Linked DNA regions of Caenorhabditis elegans. The protein of the gene in region 3 purifies or fractionates together with the protein of the main gene of each other region. This does not show direct contact. Each region holds a gene or a part of one and is shown on either strand. Other genes may lie near its edges.

Evidence for each region. Proteins that work in one complex are often made in the same cells at the same time.
Region 1: the proteins of nish-1 (region 3) and Y67D2.5 fractionate together in Caenorhabditis elegans (co-fractionation; one large-scale study listed by BioGRID). This does not show direct contact.
Region 2: the proteins of nish-1 (region 3) and nrd-1 fractionate together in Caenorhabditis elegans (co-fractionation; one large-scale study listed by BioGRID). This does not show direct contact.

The regions. Positions count from the first base shown.
Region 1 is NC_003281.10:1,537,967-1,542,134, reverse strand, and holds Y67D2.5 (N-acetyltransferase 9-like protein), read left to right. Parts: upstream 1-1,890; 5' UTR 1,891-1,935; coding exon 1,936-2,166; intron 2,167-2,535; coding exon 2,536-2,709; intron 2,710-3,421; coding exon 3,422-3,625; 3' UTR 3,626-3,664; downstream 3,665-4,168. Other genes in the region: cisd-3.2 (Iron-binding zinc finger CDGSH type domain-containing protein), read right to left, coding at 66-209, 1,256-1,417, 1,585-1,629; mtg-1 (CP-type G domain-containing protein), read right to left, coding at 4,007-4,168.
Region 2 is NC_003279.8:4,597,419-4,604,382, forward strand, and holds nrd-1 (CID domain-containing protein), read right to left. Parts: upstream 5,249-6,964; 5' UTR 5,222-5,248; coding exon 5,060-5,221; intron 4,991-5,059; coding exon 4,732-4,990; intron 4,686-4,731; coding exon 4,166-4,685; intron 4,097-4,165; coding exon 3,474-4,096; intron 3,208-3,473; coding exon 2,669-3,207; intron 2,608-2,668; coding exon 2,473-2,607; intron 2,154-2,472; coding exon 1,702-2,153; intron 1,212-1,701; coding exon 1,117-1,211; intron 1,062-1,116; coding exon 880-1,061; 3' UTR 505-879; downstream 1-504. Other genes in the region: eaf-1 (Ell-associated factor Eaf), read left to right, coding at 5,805-5,919, 5,998-6,638.
Region 3 is NC_003282.8:10,862,485-10,867,332, forward strand, and holds the start of nish-1 (PX domain-containing protein), read left to right. Parts: upstream 1-1,846; coding exon 1,847-1,945; intron 1,946-2,476; coding exon 2,477-2,761; intron 2,762-2,773; exon of another isoform or gene 2,774-2,981; coding exon of another isoform or gene 2,982-3,383; intron 3,384-3,434; coding exon of another isoform or gene 3,435-3,751; intron 3,752-3,870; coding exon of another isoform or gene 3,871-4,293; intron 4,294-4,848. Other genes in the region: rbm-22 (Pre-mRNA-splicing factor RBM22), read left to right, coding at 1-416, 1,287-1,427, 1,478-1,566; F13E9.11 (uncharacterized protein), read right to left, coding at 2,982-3,383, 3,435-3,751, 3,871-4,293.

The DNA of each region.
Region 1 (4,168 bases), on a different chromosome or scaffold from region 3:
CAAATTTTGCGAGAAATTCGATTTTTAGGTGAAAATCTTCGAAATTTTCCCCATTTTCCCCGTACATCAGCGTGTTTTCCATCGCAAATTGGTCGAGTTCCAGTCTGTTTGCAGTCACACATTGGATAAATTCCAGTTTTTTCAACTTGAAAACTGACGGGGCGAACGTTGGTTAATCCGGGCGTTTTGTGGGTTCCGTCGCAGAATGGCTGCAAAAAATTTTTGGATTTTTCAGGAATTTTCCGGTTTTTTAAGGCATTTTTCAGTGTTAAAATCGTCGTCGAATTTCACACGCCTAGCACCCTTTTTCTGGGTCTCTAGATTTAAATTTGAATTTCGAGGGGTACGGTAGTCCCAAAAGTACGCAAACACCGAGTGCCTTGCGTACTTGGCACCGAACTTTACGACAATTAGTCTAAATTGACTGAAAATCGGGTTAGGGGGGGAAAATGTGATGGAGAACTCGAATTTTGTACTGAAAATGTGTGAAAATGTGTGAAAATCATTGAAAATTTGGGCATAGCTTCCGCATGTCCGAGTGACAAATGTGCTCTATTGCCAAATTGTTGGCAGAAATACGGTATTTATTCACATTTTCAGCCAATTTAAGACTGAAAATGTGAATAAACACAGTATTTATGCCAGAAATCTGAGAAACGCACAAGTCACAGGGGAATTATCGATTTTTAGAAGATTTTTCGTTTTCAGATTGGTGGCCTAGAAATCCCAAAAGTTAGGCCGCCAATCTATTTTGAGCGAAAAAACCAATTTCTAGGGGTAAAAATGAGTGAAAAACTTAATTTTTAACTGAAAATTTGGGCAAAATCACTAGAAATGTGATTAAAAATATTTAAACGCGAAAAATGACCGGAATTCTAATTTTAGGGCAAAATTCGTTAATTATAGCTGCAATAACCAAATTTTTGAGCAGAAAATCGCAAAAAATCTTTATTTCCAGCGTTTTTCGTAACAAAAATAGACCGTCTGAGCTTTTTCCGGGAAAATTAGGGTAATTTTCGAAAAATGTTGGATTTTTCTAGAATATTGATTAAAATTTGAGCAAAAATGAGCTTTTTTTGTAATTTTTTCACTAGCATTCACGTTTAACAAAATTTTGGGTTTCATCACGACTTTAAAGGCACATAGGCGCCATTTTAAGCCTAAAATAGCTAAATTTTATCAATTTTCCGCGATTTTTTCGGCATTTTAGCTGTTTTTCGACGATTTCCATGAGAAAATGCTCGAAAATAAGCACCTGAGTGATGCTCAACCCGCATGAGCACCAATGATACGTTTTTCCGGCTTCAAGCTTCACACGATTCGACTTTGTGCCTGCTGGCTGCCCTTTGTACGGCAAAACGTCTGCAGAATAGCTTTGAACAACGACGCCACGTGCTTTTCCACGAATCGATGATTGCTGGAAATTTTGAAATTTTTTTCAGTGATTTTTCGCGGAAATTGGTGAAAATCTGGCAAAAATCGGGATTTTTTCGCAGAAAAAAAAATTTCAGCGATTTTGATTGATTTTCCACGACTTTTCCAGCTTTTTCAGTCGAAATTGACAATTTTCCACTAATAACTCACAATCGGCGCGGCTGCCTGAAGCTTTTGGCACGTTCTTCCGAGCATGGCTCAATTCGACCTGAAAATCGAGGTTTTTGAGGTGAAAAATAGGTTTTTAATGGATTTTCGCATACAAATTCATGATTTTTCAATATTTTAAGCGAAAAAATCGTGAAAAACCACGGATTTTCAGAGGAAAATCACTAAAAATGGCTGAAAACAAATTTGCCCGTGGAGCGAGCAAGCGCGCTCCAGTGAGAAACAGTTGGGATTTCTAGGCCGCGGCCACGGGAATTTATATAATTTTTTTCATTTTCCGGCGTTTTTACATGATTTTCCTCGAATTTCTCGCATTTTTCGATATTCCAGGCAATGAAACTCAATTCCAACGTGAAAATCGTCGCAAAAAAGTGCATTTTAGTGCCGTACGAGCCGTGCCACGTTGCAAAATACCACAAATGGATGGAAAACGAGGAGATTCGCCGACTCACCGGCTCTGAACAATTGTCGTTGGATGAGGAATATGAAATGCAGAAAACTTGGCGAAATGATGAGGATAAACTAACGTTTATCGTTCTTGAAATGAATGAAAGTGGAGAAGAAGTAGGGATTTTTCAGGAAAACCCCGTTTTTTTCAAGTTTTTGCCTCCAAAAATTTGAAATTCACGGGCTCAGAACCGTTTTGAATTAAAAATAGACCAAAAAATTGGGAAAATAGCATTATAACCACTCGAAAATCGACTTTTCCGCCAAAAACTACGACACTCCTAGTACGCCACAGCGCGTGTTGTTTAGCGCTGGTCACCCGCGAATTCAAATTTTTGACTTAAAATTGGGGTTTTTTACACTTTTTTGCCGATTTCAATGTGAAAAATCACTAAAAATTCTGTTTTTATCAAAAATTTTTGCATTTTCGAAAAGAAAAGTGTGTTTTTTTCCGATTTTTTTTTTGGAAATTTTCCGAAATTTCAGGTAGATCACATGCTTGGCGATGTGAATTTGTTCATTTCCACGTCACCGTCCACTGAAAACCCTAGCGATGACGTCATCACTGGTGAGGTAGAGGTTATGATAGCGGAGCCACGTGGCAGAGGAAAAGGCATTGGAGAGGAGGCTGTGAGGGTTATTATTGCGTGGGCGTATGAGGTAAAATACTTTTTTTCTTCTAAAAAAAAGTTTTTGTTGGATGTAAAAGTTGAAAAAAAAATTTTGAAAAAAAATTCTGAAACAATTTTTTTTTTCAGAATTTTTTTTGTCAAATTTCTCCTAACTAATTTCTTTTATAAAAATTCGAGTTCTCCTCACTCCCAGCTTCAAAATGACCCCCCATCACGCACTGGTTCCGCGTAGTTTGAAAATTTTAGGTCTCGCCACGCGGGTTACTGTAGCACCGATATCAGCTGTGTCGGTGGGAAAAATGCGCGGAACATAGGCTTGTAGGGGTCAATTTAAAGCTGGTGACGTGGAGAATATGAATTTTAACATGATTTTTGACAGTTTTGAAAATTAAAAAAATTTTAGTTCGAAAAAAAATTGAATTTTTTTTTGTTTTTCAGAAAAATTTTATTCTTCAAAATTTCTCGATTTTGAGCTGAAATTCGAGTTCTCCACACTTTCAGCGTCAAAATGACCCCCATCATGTCCTGGTTCCGCGCAATTTGAAAATTTTGGGTCTCGCCACGCGGGTTACTGTAGCACCGATATCAGCTGTGTCGGTTGTCAAATTGAACGGAATATGGTCGTGTTGGGGGTCATTTTGAAGCTGAAAATGAGGAGAATAAGAATTTTGACATGGTTTTTGACAGTTTTGAAAAATGAGCAAAAAAAATATTTTTTTCGAAAATTTTCAATTTTTCAGAATCTGAAAATCGAGCAATTCTGCGTAAAAATTACCGATGACAACACACCAAGCCTGAGCCTATTCAAGAAGAAACTAGGATTCAAACAAATCGGCTATAGCACTGCTTTCAAGGAATTCACATTTGAATTGCCGAAAAATCGATTGATTTCTGAATTTTCGAGTTTTTTGGAGAAAAATGCAGAAATTAAGGAGTATAAATAATTATTTGTGTACTTTTACATTGAAAATAAATGTTTTTCAAAAAAAAAAAATTTTTTGTAAAAATTTTTTTCACTATATTTTTTACAAAATTCCAAAATTCTGTGTTCAGAAGCTTTTTTTAATGCAAAATATATCAAAAAATTGAGATAAAAGCCTTAAAACCACTCGATAATCCAATTTTCCGCCAAAAACTACGACACTCCGCTAGTACGCCACAGCGCGTGTTGTTTAGCAGCCCGGGAATTCAAATTTTTTACTTACAATTGAGGTTTTATCCCGTTTTTTGCCGATTTTAATGGGGAAAAATCATTAAAAATGCAGTTTTTATCAAATATTTCTAAAAATAACAACAAAAAACATGAAAAATCAACGAAAAATCTCCTAATTTCGATACAAAAAATGCTCATTATCGAGGCAAGAATCCTTGAATTTTCGATTTCTGTAGAGTTGAATGAAATATTTGGCGGCTCGATCAAAATCCCATCTTTCTCCAATACTTTGTTGAATTCTAAAGTCATTTGCAGCGCAAGTTAGGGCCAAAAC
Region 2 (6,964 bases), on a different chromosome or scaffold from region 3:
ATTTTTTTAATCTGAAAAGAAAACTATTAAAAAACCCATGTAAAGTCTGCAGAAAAAGAAAGTTCGAGAGTACAGTACCCATTTAAAGGCATTTTTTGTCGTGTCGAGACCAGGTACCGTATATTTGGAGAAAAATCGCAACATTTCGCGTCTGGGTTTTTTTTTAAATATTTTTAGAAAAAAAGTTTCAAAAATAGGAATAATTTACTGATAACCCAGTTGTTGACATTTTCCAAATTCCTTATCATAACTTCAAAGTACTTGTCAAACTATTTGAACACATGAAACCAGCGTGGGGGCCCATAAAAATGTGGTTTTTCACATAGTCAGGCTAATATTTTCGTTGCGGGCTGGCTCACAGACACGGTTGACTTTGAACCCGGAGCCTGCGACTTTTTATTACTTCTGTGTAACAGGCCGTTTACATTATTCAACTGATAAGATGCATCATTGACGACAAACCACTGGAGCTGGTCATTTGTGATATCTCAACAATATAATAATATATTGTTCATTGAGACATATTAATAAAATAGAGAGAAAAAAACAAAGAAAAAGAAAATGTGGGTACATAAGGGAGACAAATGATCATAAAAAACGAAGAATTTAGGGCGAGCGAGAAAGGGGTAAGTGGGCCATGAAAATTAAATCTTACAATAAAGTCAAAAAACAATTGAAAGCATCAGGATTAAACAATATGTCCCGGAGAACAAGAGATTCATGGAAATGAAGATTCAATTACATACACAGGTTATGGAGTAGAAGAAGTTTTCGACTAATTGAGTAAAACAAGTTTAAAAAAAAAAAATTGTTTAAATTCAAGTAGATGCAATGCTTTTAAACATTATTAAGTATTCAATTCAATATCTCTATAATTCCTTATTCAAGATCCATCGGCACCTCATCAGTCTGATCTTCATGATGTTCTGCAACAATTTTCACTGGCTCTTCTGCAGCTTTAAGCTCTGGAGCTGGAGCTGGAATTGGTGCTGGAACTGGAGTCGGTTCGACTGATGGTTTCAATTCATCAAGGGTTGTAGAGGATACGGTTTCTTCTTCGACTGAAAATATTGAAATAATTAGAAATTTCAATCTATTTTTTTTTTTGCAATTTACCACTAGTTTTTTTGACTGGTGGTTCCTCTCTTTCATAGCTTGGAGAACGTCTTGTACGCCGATCCGGGGAACGTGGAGACCGTGGAGAGCGGCGTCTGTAACTTTGTTTTGATTAATTTTTTATTGATTAAAGGTGGAGTTCCATCAATGGGAATTTTACTTCAAAATACTCAAGCTGGCCAATTAACTACAAAAAGGAAATGAAAAAAAAATGCATGAAGCATGAAAATATTATTTTTACGATTTTACAACTCTTGCTAATCTCCTAATTTGAATTACCGCGCGTTTGACTCTGAACTCCGCCTAAAACAATGCCGCAGTTCGGCTTTTTTTCCAATTTCGACGCAAACTCTGCTTTTTTTGTGCGGTTTTTCCAATTTTTATAATTTTTAGCAAAGGCCAGAAATACTCAATAATTGTTTCTTATTTGAAAATTTTTGGATGTTAGCAGGAGTTGCAAAAGCGCTGTTTTTTTTTCAAATTTAACGCAGCTTTTTCGTTTTTCTTTTGTGGTACTTCTGAATTTGAGACAATTTGCATTTTTTCATGCCTACTCCACTTTAATTACAGATCAGTCTAACAAACCTTGATTCACGACGATCATCACGTCTATCATCACGGCGGTCATCATCACGACGATCATCATCTCCCCAACGAGAACGTCTCCTAGCTCCCATATCATCTTGTCTACGACGATCAATTTGAGAACGATCACGATCATAATCACGATGTTCTCTTCCTCCATCTCTTCCTGCACCACCGCCGCCGCGCATCTCTCGTTGTTCACGATTCCACATTTCAGATTGATCCAAAAGACGTCCACGTCCATTTTCCGGACGGAATGGTGGACCTCCACCACCTCGTCTATCAAAATGTGGTGGTGGTGGACCACCGTGTCCTCCACGTCCACCACGGAATGATGGTGGTGGTGGCATATGATGCATACCGCCACGTGGTGGTGGTGGGAATGAGCTCATTGGACCAGCTCCACGGCCAAATGGTGGTGGTGGTGCGCCAGCGTTGAATCCTTGTTGGAACTGAAATTTTTGATTAGAATAGACATTTTAAATAACATAGAGCGGGTTTTACTACGTGACCTAGGAAAATCATGCACCCAGATTTTTCTGAAACTTGCCGAAAATGATCTTATAAAGGGTTTATATCGTTCTGTGGTGGCGATTTTCGAATGAAAATTTTTCTTTTTTATTTTAAATGGGTGGCCGAGTTTTCTGTTTTCTTTTAGCATAAATTTTTTCATTTTTTCGAAATTTTGAACCACCGAAACTCGTTCATTTGGGCAAATTTCGAGTCTTTACAATCCAAAAACTCAGAAGTCATCCTTTAATAACTTCTTACCATTGGTGGTGGTGGCTTATTTGGATCGAATCCCATTGGTGGAATACCCTGTGGTGGTGGAGGACCAACTCCTGGCGGTGGTGGAGCCGGTGGATATCCTGGAATTCCGGGTGGTGGTGGAGCATTGAGATTGAACTGAAATTAATTTGGTAAGATATAAAAGTCTACAAAAATCATTATTAAAGAGATAAATTACCATCGGTGGAACACCTGGAGGAAGACCTGCAGGTCTTGGTTGACCGGGTAATTGTGTGAGTTGATGTTGGAATGGGAAACCCATTGGAGGTGGATGTGGGACTGGAGGTTGAATATTTGGTGGTGGTATAGAAATCACTGTTTCGCCGGTTTCTTTATAAAGCAATTTCTTTTCAATTGGTAGAGATTCAATATCCAACATAGCTCCTTCACAAAGTGCCACTAAATCCAGCGGAAGTTTTTCATATGGGATTTCCAAGACTCCACGATTAGAATCCCATAAATCAGAAAATTGATCTGAATCCATCCCAGGACTTCTTGCCCAGTAAACTTTGACCATTTTCTTGGCGACCGAAACTTCACGCATTTTTGAAACAACATCGTTCGCAGATCTTCGATTTTCCATTGTGATGTAGGCGCATGCACGATTTCCGATAACTTTAACACGAGATGCTTCTCCACATGATTCGACGGCTTGCTTCAAATCGTTTTCAACTATATTTGTGGGGATTTTCTTGAGCCAAAGTGTACGTGAGGCGACTGTAAATTGAAGAAAATATTAATTTGTTTGAATTTCAATAAATTTGTTAAGATATTGTTTCGATACAATATTTCAGGAATTATTTCATAGTGATTTTGTATGATTTTTACAAGGAGCACCAATTTTTTATACGAAAAAGACTTCGAATGATTTTATTATTTTTAAAATCAAAATTGAAATCATCCAAAAATCCCTTTTTTTTGGAAGTTTTTTAGCTCTTCTTGTAAAATCATACAAAATCGCAACTCGTTGTTGTAAAACATACTAATAGTAAATCCAATTCTAACAGGTGGCAATCCCATTCTTCTTCTCTCTTTGCTCTCTCTTTCCTTCTCTTTTTCCCTTAATCGAGCTCGTTCCACATCTCCACTATTGTTAATTCCACTATTTCCACCACTTAATTCCAATATTTTTTTCTCTGGACTCTGTGCGGCTTCATTCAACATTGCTTGCTGTTGAGCTGCTGCGGCGGCTTGGAGGTCATTTAACATTGGATTAACACCATGTTGAAGAGCAAATGGATTAAGCAATGGATTTCCAAGCATAAGAAGATTTCGCTGAGCATTTGGATTTCCTTGTAGAGCTTGAAGTTGAGCAGCACGTTGTTGCAGTTGGAGCATATTCTGAGCATTTTGAACATTCATCAGTTGGGCTTGGTTGAGGCCTGAGAGATTTGGAAGTCCGAGCTGTTGATTTGGAAAACCTGGCGGCAGAGATTGTTGAAGAGCCATCAGATTTGGTGGTGGAGCTCCCAATGTTAAAGCTGCTGACGATGTTGGAACAATATGTTCGCCTGGGAACGGAAGACCAAATGGATTTCCTTGAGGTATCAAGACTTCAGCGAGTTTTGCGAGTATTTGAGGTTGAGTAAGCAAACTTTGAGCCAATCTAGAATTTGAAAAAAAAATTAGAAACATTCTGGAATTAAGAAAAAAATAAAATGCATCAAAAACTCACAACAGGACTTGAGCATGTGGCAGATTTTTCTGTTTCTCTGGTTGTGGTTCCTTTTCCTTCTCTTCTTCATCATCCGAGTATTCAAAATCTTTTGTTAACACATTCTGTATACTACTTCCATTAATCCGATTATTCTCCGCTAGAACTTCTTCTACTTTTTGACTCAAGGATCCAGCGAATATTTGAAGTGCTCTCTGGAGAAGATTCTTGTCCTTACTTAAAACTCCACTGCGATCTATGCCGAACTTCTGAACCAATTCCAACATTTCTCTCTCAGAAATAGTTCCAAGGAAGTAATCTTCAGAAAGCACAAAGTTCGGAATATCTGGGACAGATCTCAGAGCAGATGATGGTCCAGCACCGAGAAGTCCATCATCCGGATGTGGATTTGTAGGAGTACGAGATTTCGGTTGAGACGATGATGAAGACCTTTTTGGCTTTTTCTTGTAAACTCCGGAATAAATGCTCATATCAGCCTGTTTTCCCTTCACGGCGAGCTCAACTTCCTCGAAATCGATAGCTAAAAATCAAACTTTTTTTTTGAATTCTCCACCATAATTACTTACTTAATCCAGAAGCCTTGCACATCTCTCTCAGTGGTTGAATCTCTGATTCCTTGAAAACTTTATTGGACATCCACAAATTAAGAGTTCTAACTGTTCTCATTTTCTCTTTCTGTCCACACTTTAACAGCGGCATCAAAAACTTGTCAAACTGCTTCATAAACCGTGGGCCAAATGTGTCTTTTTCTTTAAGTTGATGTTTTGAAGCACGGACTATTGAATCGATTACATAGAGCACATTTAGACGTTGATCTGGCTTGCACTGAAAAATCATTAATAAAAATAAATAAATTATTTAATTTAAATTTCGATTTCTCGAAATCATTCTAACCTTATTGATAAGTTTTTCAACTGAAAAAACCACATGCTTATATTGGCTTTTTGCTTTGATCGCAGCCTTTGTTATATCCTGAATCTTGTTCTTGCTCATGTTTTTCGAGTCGAATAGTGACGACAATTCATTATTAAACGATTTCATCACTTCCGTCTCCATGGTGATCCCACTGATGAGAGTTTTGTTCTGAAAAAAGCCAATTCAAATTAAAATCGATAATGCGAAGCGAGAAAATAAACTGAATAAAAGGAATAGTGGAAAGATACAATTGCAGAATTAAGAGTAAAGGTGGATGTGCTAATTTTAACGAATAGCAAATATTCCAAACGCTTATTTTTGAAAAATCGATAAATGCGATATGTCGACGGTTTAAAATCCAATGTAAACTATTTTCCCACTAAGTTTTTTCATGATTTTGATACTTTTTCAGTAGTTGAATATAATTTAATAATTTATGTACAAATTCATCTAATTATAGCGTTTTGAATGAAAATAGGAAAGAAAGCCGGCATAAAAATGGTAAAGCGCCGAGGTCAACACTGTGCCGCACACTTGCAAAACGGCGTGCCAGGCTTGCCAACCGAAGACTCCGCCCACAGCTAATGGTACTCTCGCGCACACAATTGGCACTATTCTGAAGAATTTCATTGTAATATATAATAAAATTATCGATTTTTTTTTCAAATTAAAAAATTCAAAATATTCACATATGATTTAATAATAATCATTTTTTCAGTTTCACATGGCAGAGTCAAGTGATATTCCGAATGGTACTTACACCTTGACCCTCGGGAAGTCATTTGAAGTAAAAGGACGGAAAAGTGACCCTAAGGCAGAGCAATTTCACACGCTAAGATGTAGGTTAACTGCACAATTTTAAGATTAAATATATCAGAAATTTAAAAATATAAAATCGAAATAGCTAAAATTTACAGACGATTTCAAGCCAAGCTCTGTATCAAACAATGCCGACACCTTCATAGCGTTTGGGAACAGCGGTGATGTACATGTCTCTGTACCAAGCGAAGGAGACAATATGACTGTATATAAAGGATCGAAAAAAGAAGCAAAACCGAAAGAATGTCTTCTGTTCTTCGACAAAAAGACCAACACAGTTCGCTTGGAGAAAATTACGAGCAATATTAATGTAAAAAAGACGAGAGATCTAGATCAAGGAACAGAACTCGCATTGAAACGTGGAATCGAAAGATTGAGAACTTCTTCTAATAATCAGCGATCTGGACCATCTTCACCGGAGGAGAAAGCGAAAATTCAGAAACAAATGCAGAGAGATACATCAGATTCGAGTAGTGATTCTGATGGATCATCTGATTCCGACAAATCGAATGGCGATTCCAGTGATGATGAAGATGAGAGCGAGAAGATATTATTGGAAGAAATGAAAAAGCCCAAACCATATACAGAAAGAGAACCCGCACCGCCTTCGTCTTCAAATACCTACAATCACAAAGAAAGCCACGTGGCTCCCTATATATCAAGTAGTGGAAATAAAAACAAAGATTCTGAGGAGAAGTATGGATTGGCACTTAGCGAAAGCTCCGACGAAGATGACTAATTTTAAAACATAATATTATTCAGTGTATTCAACCGTCTTTCTTGTGTACTTGTACTAGTGGTGGCAGTTATTTGCTTCTGTGATTTTTTATTTATTTCAAAACCGGGCTATCTATCGCAATCATAAATTTTTTCATTCAGGCTATTCAACAGTTTTATTTTTTCAGGTTTTCTGTTTAATCCGTGCACTATTTTAAAGTCGAACTAAAGTTTCTCTGAAATTTTTAAAATTCGCTGAAACCATTTTATCAATAGAGCATGCTTCTTGCGCTAAACAGTGTCGTTTGTAGACGTCGATTTTATCTTCAAATTTCTGTGTTTTTCTCA
Region 3 (4,848 bases):
TCCATTGTCCCGTCAAAACATTCGTGATCGTTATTACGGAACGAATGATCCAGTCGCTGAGAAGATTCTCAATCGTGCAGCTGCTGCTCCGACTCTTTCTCCACCTGCAGACACTACTATCACTACATTGTACATTGGAAATCTGGGTCCGTCTGGAGCTCAGCAAGTTACCGAAAAAGATTTGAATGATTTCTTTTATCAATATGGAGATATTCGTTGTCTTCGTGTGCTAACAGAGAAAGGATGTGCATTTATTGAGTTTACAACTCGTGAAGCTGCCGAACGTGCAGCTGAAAGATCATTCAACAAGACTTTTATCAAAGGAAAAAGATTGACGATTAGATGGGGAGAACCACAGGCCAAGAGAGCAGCAGATAACTCAAATTATGTTACTCCAGTACCATCAGTACCGATTTGTAAGTTTCTTTTCAATTTCAACAATAGAAACATAATTTTGAACAGATTATTTGCAATCAAAATGCGCCAGTTTGGCATGTTCTCCCAATCTTTTTCATTAAAACTTATTGAATAAATATAGAAAATCAATGACGTTCCAATAATTTTTGAGCACTTCTTTAATTGTTCAACTAAAATAAAAGCTATTCTCAGCAATAATATCATCAAAAAATTGCTCAGAAACTCGAAACACTAAAAGCGAAATTTTTTTTGATTTTACTAAAAATCGAAAATCGATAGAAATTCTTAGAAATTTTACCATAGAATATATTTTTTTAAATCAAATTTTGTTTATGTTAATGAAAACATGTAAATTTCTTCTAATAAGAAGAACAGTTACCGAAATTTTAAGCTATTCTTCGAAATATCAACAAAAAAAACGAAATGGTCGATTTTAGAAAAAAAAATCGAAAAACCGACACCCTTGATTCAGAGATTAAGAAAATATTGTTCTATTTATGTATATTCGATCACATAATTTACTTGAAAAATATTTGGAAAACATGCTACACTGGCATATTTTGTAGAATTGCTGGTCGGCACTGAATCTTTTTGAAACCTCTCGTTGTGACAAATTTTGATGTGAATTCTCTTCAAGGGAACAATTTTTAATCGCATCGTTTTCCACACACCAAAAATTGTTTCTAAAAGAAGATTTTTTCAACCAATCCTAAAGAGAAAAATGTTTCTTTATTTCGTTTTCTATTGTTGGCAGTTAGGTTAGGTGTCATGTTTCAAAAGCGGATTGGCGCCAGTCTTCCAACAATCATTATTTCCACATTCCCATGTTTCCCTTCCATGTACATTTTCTTAAATATTTTAATTTTCAGTGCCAGTGCCAGATGGTCTCGCCCCTTCAACATCATCACAACAAAGATTCACAGGATCAATGCCACGTCCACCAGCGCCACCAACTTTCGCTGCGCCAAGAAGTCTTGTTGTACCAAATGTACGGCCAGTGAAGGCTGGAGGTCAGTTTTATTTTTTTGAAGACGAATATTAGTATTAAAATATTTTCCAGAATCAAGCGGTGCGTCATCATCATCATCGATTTATTATCCGAGTCAAGATCCAACCCGTCTTGGCGCCAAGGGTGACGTTATTGAGTAAATTTTCAATTAGTTTATCACTTTCCTTTTCATTCTGTCCTCGTTCTGTAATTTTTCTTTCCATTTTTATTGTGTTTTGTTCAAACTTTAAAAAGAATCTTCCGTTCTTTTCTGAAAAAACTCCCTAATTATTCTTCTTCGGTCTCATGTTCGTTCTTACAATAAACATTTTTCGAACTTTCTAATTCTGATATTATCATTTTATTGGACTGGTCAAATCCATTTTTTCCTATTTTCATGTTGTCAAAGAACTTTCCTGAAATTTCAGAAAATCTTTTCAGATGGCCTTACTAAATATACAGGCAGTATCACCTCAAATGGATGCAAATTTCAATGCGAAAATTTTGAATTTTAGAATGATTGATGAAGGAAAGTATACGGTAAGTGTTGTCACTATAATTCAGAAAAAAAACGATGAAAATAAAACCCAGAGGCGAAATTTCGCGATTTTTTCGTCAAAATTACTGTACCCGGTCTCAACACGACAAATCTTGTTAAATTCGAAAAGGTGTGCGTCTTTAATGAATACCGTAATTTCGAACTCGTCTCAGCGGAATTTTCCATTTTCTTCTCTCAATTTGTCAAAATTTACATGTTTACTATTGTTATATTTGAGTATATGTTTTTTATTGAAAAAAAAAACTACGAAACATCGATAAACATTTTGCAGAAACAAACGTTTTTCCAAAAAAAATCGCAAAAATTCGCTGGGTAATAAGAATGATTTAGAATCCGAAAATAAAAAATTTGATGGTTTCTTAATTTGAAAAAAATGATGAGAAAACTGTCATAAAGCTAAGTTTGGTATCTAATTTTTGAACAACTATAATTTAAAAGTTTCATTAAAATCAAATAATCCCACAAGTTCCATAAAAGTACATTGAAACTTTTTGCAATTGAGTAATTTTCAGGTATATCGTATCCAAATCACAGTTGACACCTACACTTGGACCGTTGAACGACGTTATAGTGATTTTGACGCTTACGATGTACATCGATTTCTAGATCGAAAGAAATCATTTCTTCCTCCAAAGAAACGACTGGGAAACAAGGATCTCGAATTTATCGAAGAACGACGACTTGAATTGGAGAAGTATGTTCGAGCTCTTTTGGAATTAGAAGTTTGGTATCAAAAGCAGAAGAATGTGCATTCGCTTCCGTTGATTACAGCGAAGTTTTTCGATTTTCATCAATATGTAAGTTTTGCAGAAAATATCAAAATTTATTTGAACTGAGACCAAGGTGTTTCCAATAGAAAAAAATGTGGCAGAGAAAGAGGATAGGCGAATAAAGAAGAAATAGTGAAACTTATATACATCTAACTGACTGAGGTAAACTTTATGAAAGCATTGGGATAGGATATTGAAAATGAGCAAAGTGGCTCATTTTCAATTAGACAGGCAACTATTATTATTATTATTCATGCTCTTCTTCTTCATGATTGTGAATAGCTGCTGAAAGCTCATTTCTACTCAAAGCTGCACGTCGTTTCATTCTCCAGTATTGAAGACGTGTCCAAAGTTCACGAAGAGCGATGTAGATCATAGCAATATTCTTGACCGCAAACAGTGATGGATCAAACTTCTTTCCGTGTTGTTGAACTTCAAGCACAATGTACAGGTAGATACGGAGTCCGAGGAAAGGCCCATTGACAATGAGAACGTAGAGGAATGCCCAGAGCTTCTCACTTACGAGCAGGAATCGTGGAACTTTAGCGTAACGAAGTTTGGCGAGAGCGAAGGTTGGCATGAAGAAGTTGATACAGGCAACAATCAGGATTGTCAGTTCGAGCCATAGTTCTAGATTCCATTTGTCCTTCTGAAAAAAAGTAAATGAATTAGATACTAGGTAGTTTGTAGTTCGACTTACCGATGCTTGCCAAAGCAAGTCTAGGAAGTAGATATTATCGATAAGATCGAGGCAAATGGCAGCAACAAGATATGAGATGTACACTTGACGAACAGAAACCAATGGGGTATAGTGATGTGACTCGAAGATGAACAAGAAAATCAAAACGGACAGAGAAAGCCCAGCTTTGAACAGGAAGTCGTCGAAAAGTTTGTCATTGTTGTCAAGCGGCGTTGGAGGAATGTCCTCGTAGAACATGCGGAAGCACGTGGCAATTTTTGAGATCAGAATAAGGGAGTACGCTCCCCAGGCGAAGCAAGCGTATTTAACCCGACTGTCTGAAATATTTCATTAATTATCAGAGATCTTGAACTTTTTGAAAGTGTCAATCTAGTTGAATACAATAGTTCAAATAGATTAGAATACTGAAGAAACTCTTACAAACATTTGAACTTACCAATTGAACAGCACTCCTCCATTTGAACTGTATTGTATTTGATAGCCAATACTCCAAGTACTCCTAGTATCAGTAGAACCACAAAGTCTGGTCCAATCCAAGCGGCCCACACATTTTCTCCAGTGACATTCAAATAGTACCAATCTATCAATCCAAACTGTAGAACTACTAAAGCAAGACTAATTATTAATGCAAATGAATCAAGAAAGGCTCGCACACAGCGGCCAGGAAGAACTGCCATTGCTGAATTTGTAGTCTTCGATTGTGAGATTAGAGCAGCAGTCTGCTCCGGTGGTACTTTAATTGGGAATTCTTCTGCTCCTTCGTAGTACTCGAAATGAGCGATTCGTTCGTCTCCGTTTTCTTCAATTGATTCTTCAGTAATATGTCGTGGATCTCTGCCGGACTCCAAGCGAGTATTTTCTGTAACAGGACATGATTGAGAGGGTGACGGTTGCGGAAACCATGGATTTTGAAGGGGATCTTCCGAAGGTTTTGGTGACTCAATATGATGATAGCGAATTGATGAATCGACACCGGGAAAGAGCAAGTGTGCCATTTGGTGAGAAAAGAAGAAAGAAAGGAAGGAGTTTTGAAAAGAGCGAAGACTGTTTGCATTGCACGGATGCGACTTCCCATGGGCATTTTTCCTCTATTTTTCAAACTGTTTTCGGAACGGAAAAAAGGAAAAGAAAGGTCGTCCGAGAAATCGAGATAGTCTGGTTTAAGAGGATTACTAAAGGCAAGGATAGGGCTGGATCGGTGATCGTTAAAAAAACCCAGTGGACAGGAAGAATACAATAGAATGGCAAGATGAATAAAAAGAAAACAGAGAAAGAAAATAAATCTTGTAGTAGAGAATGTTCGAATTTGGTCCTACTTTGGATTCAAATGAAGTACTACAAATCCAGTTCATATCCGAACTTCAAGTTCTACATTTGAGGAATTATTTAGATGTTCAATCTAAAGACCTTCTTA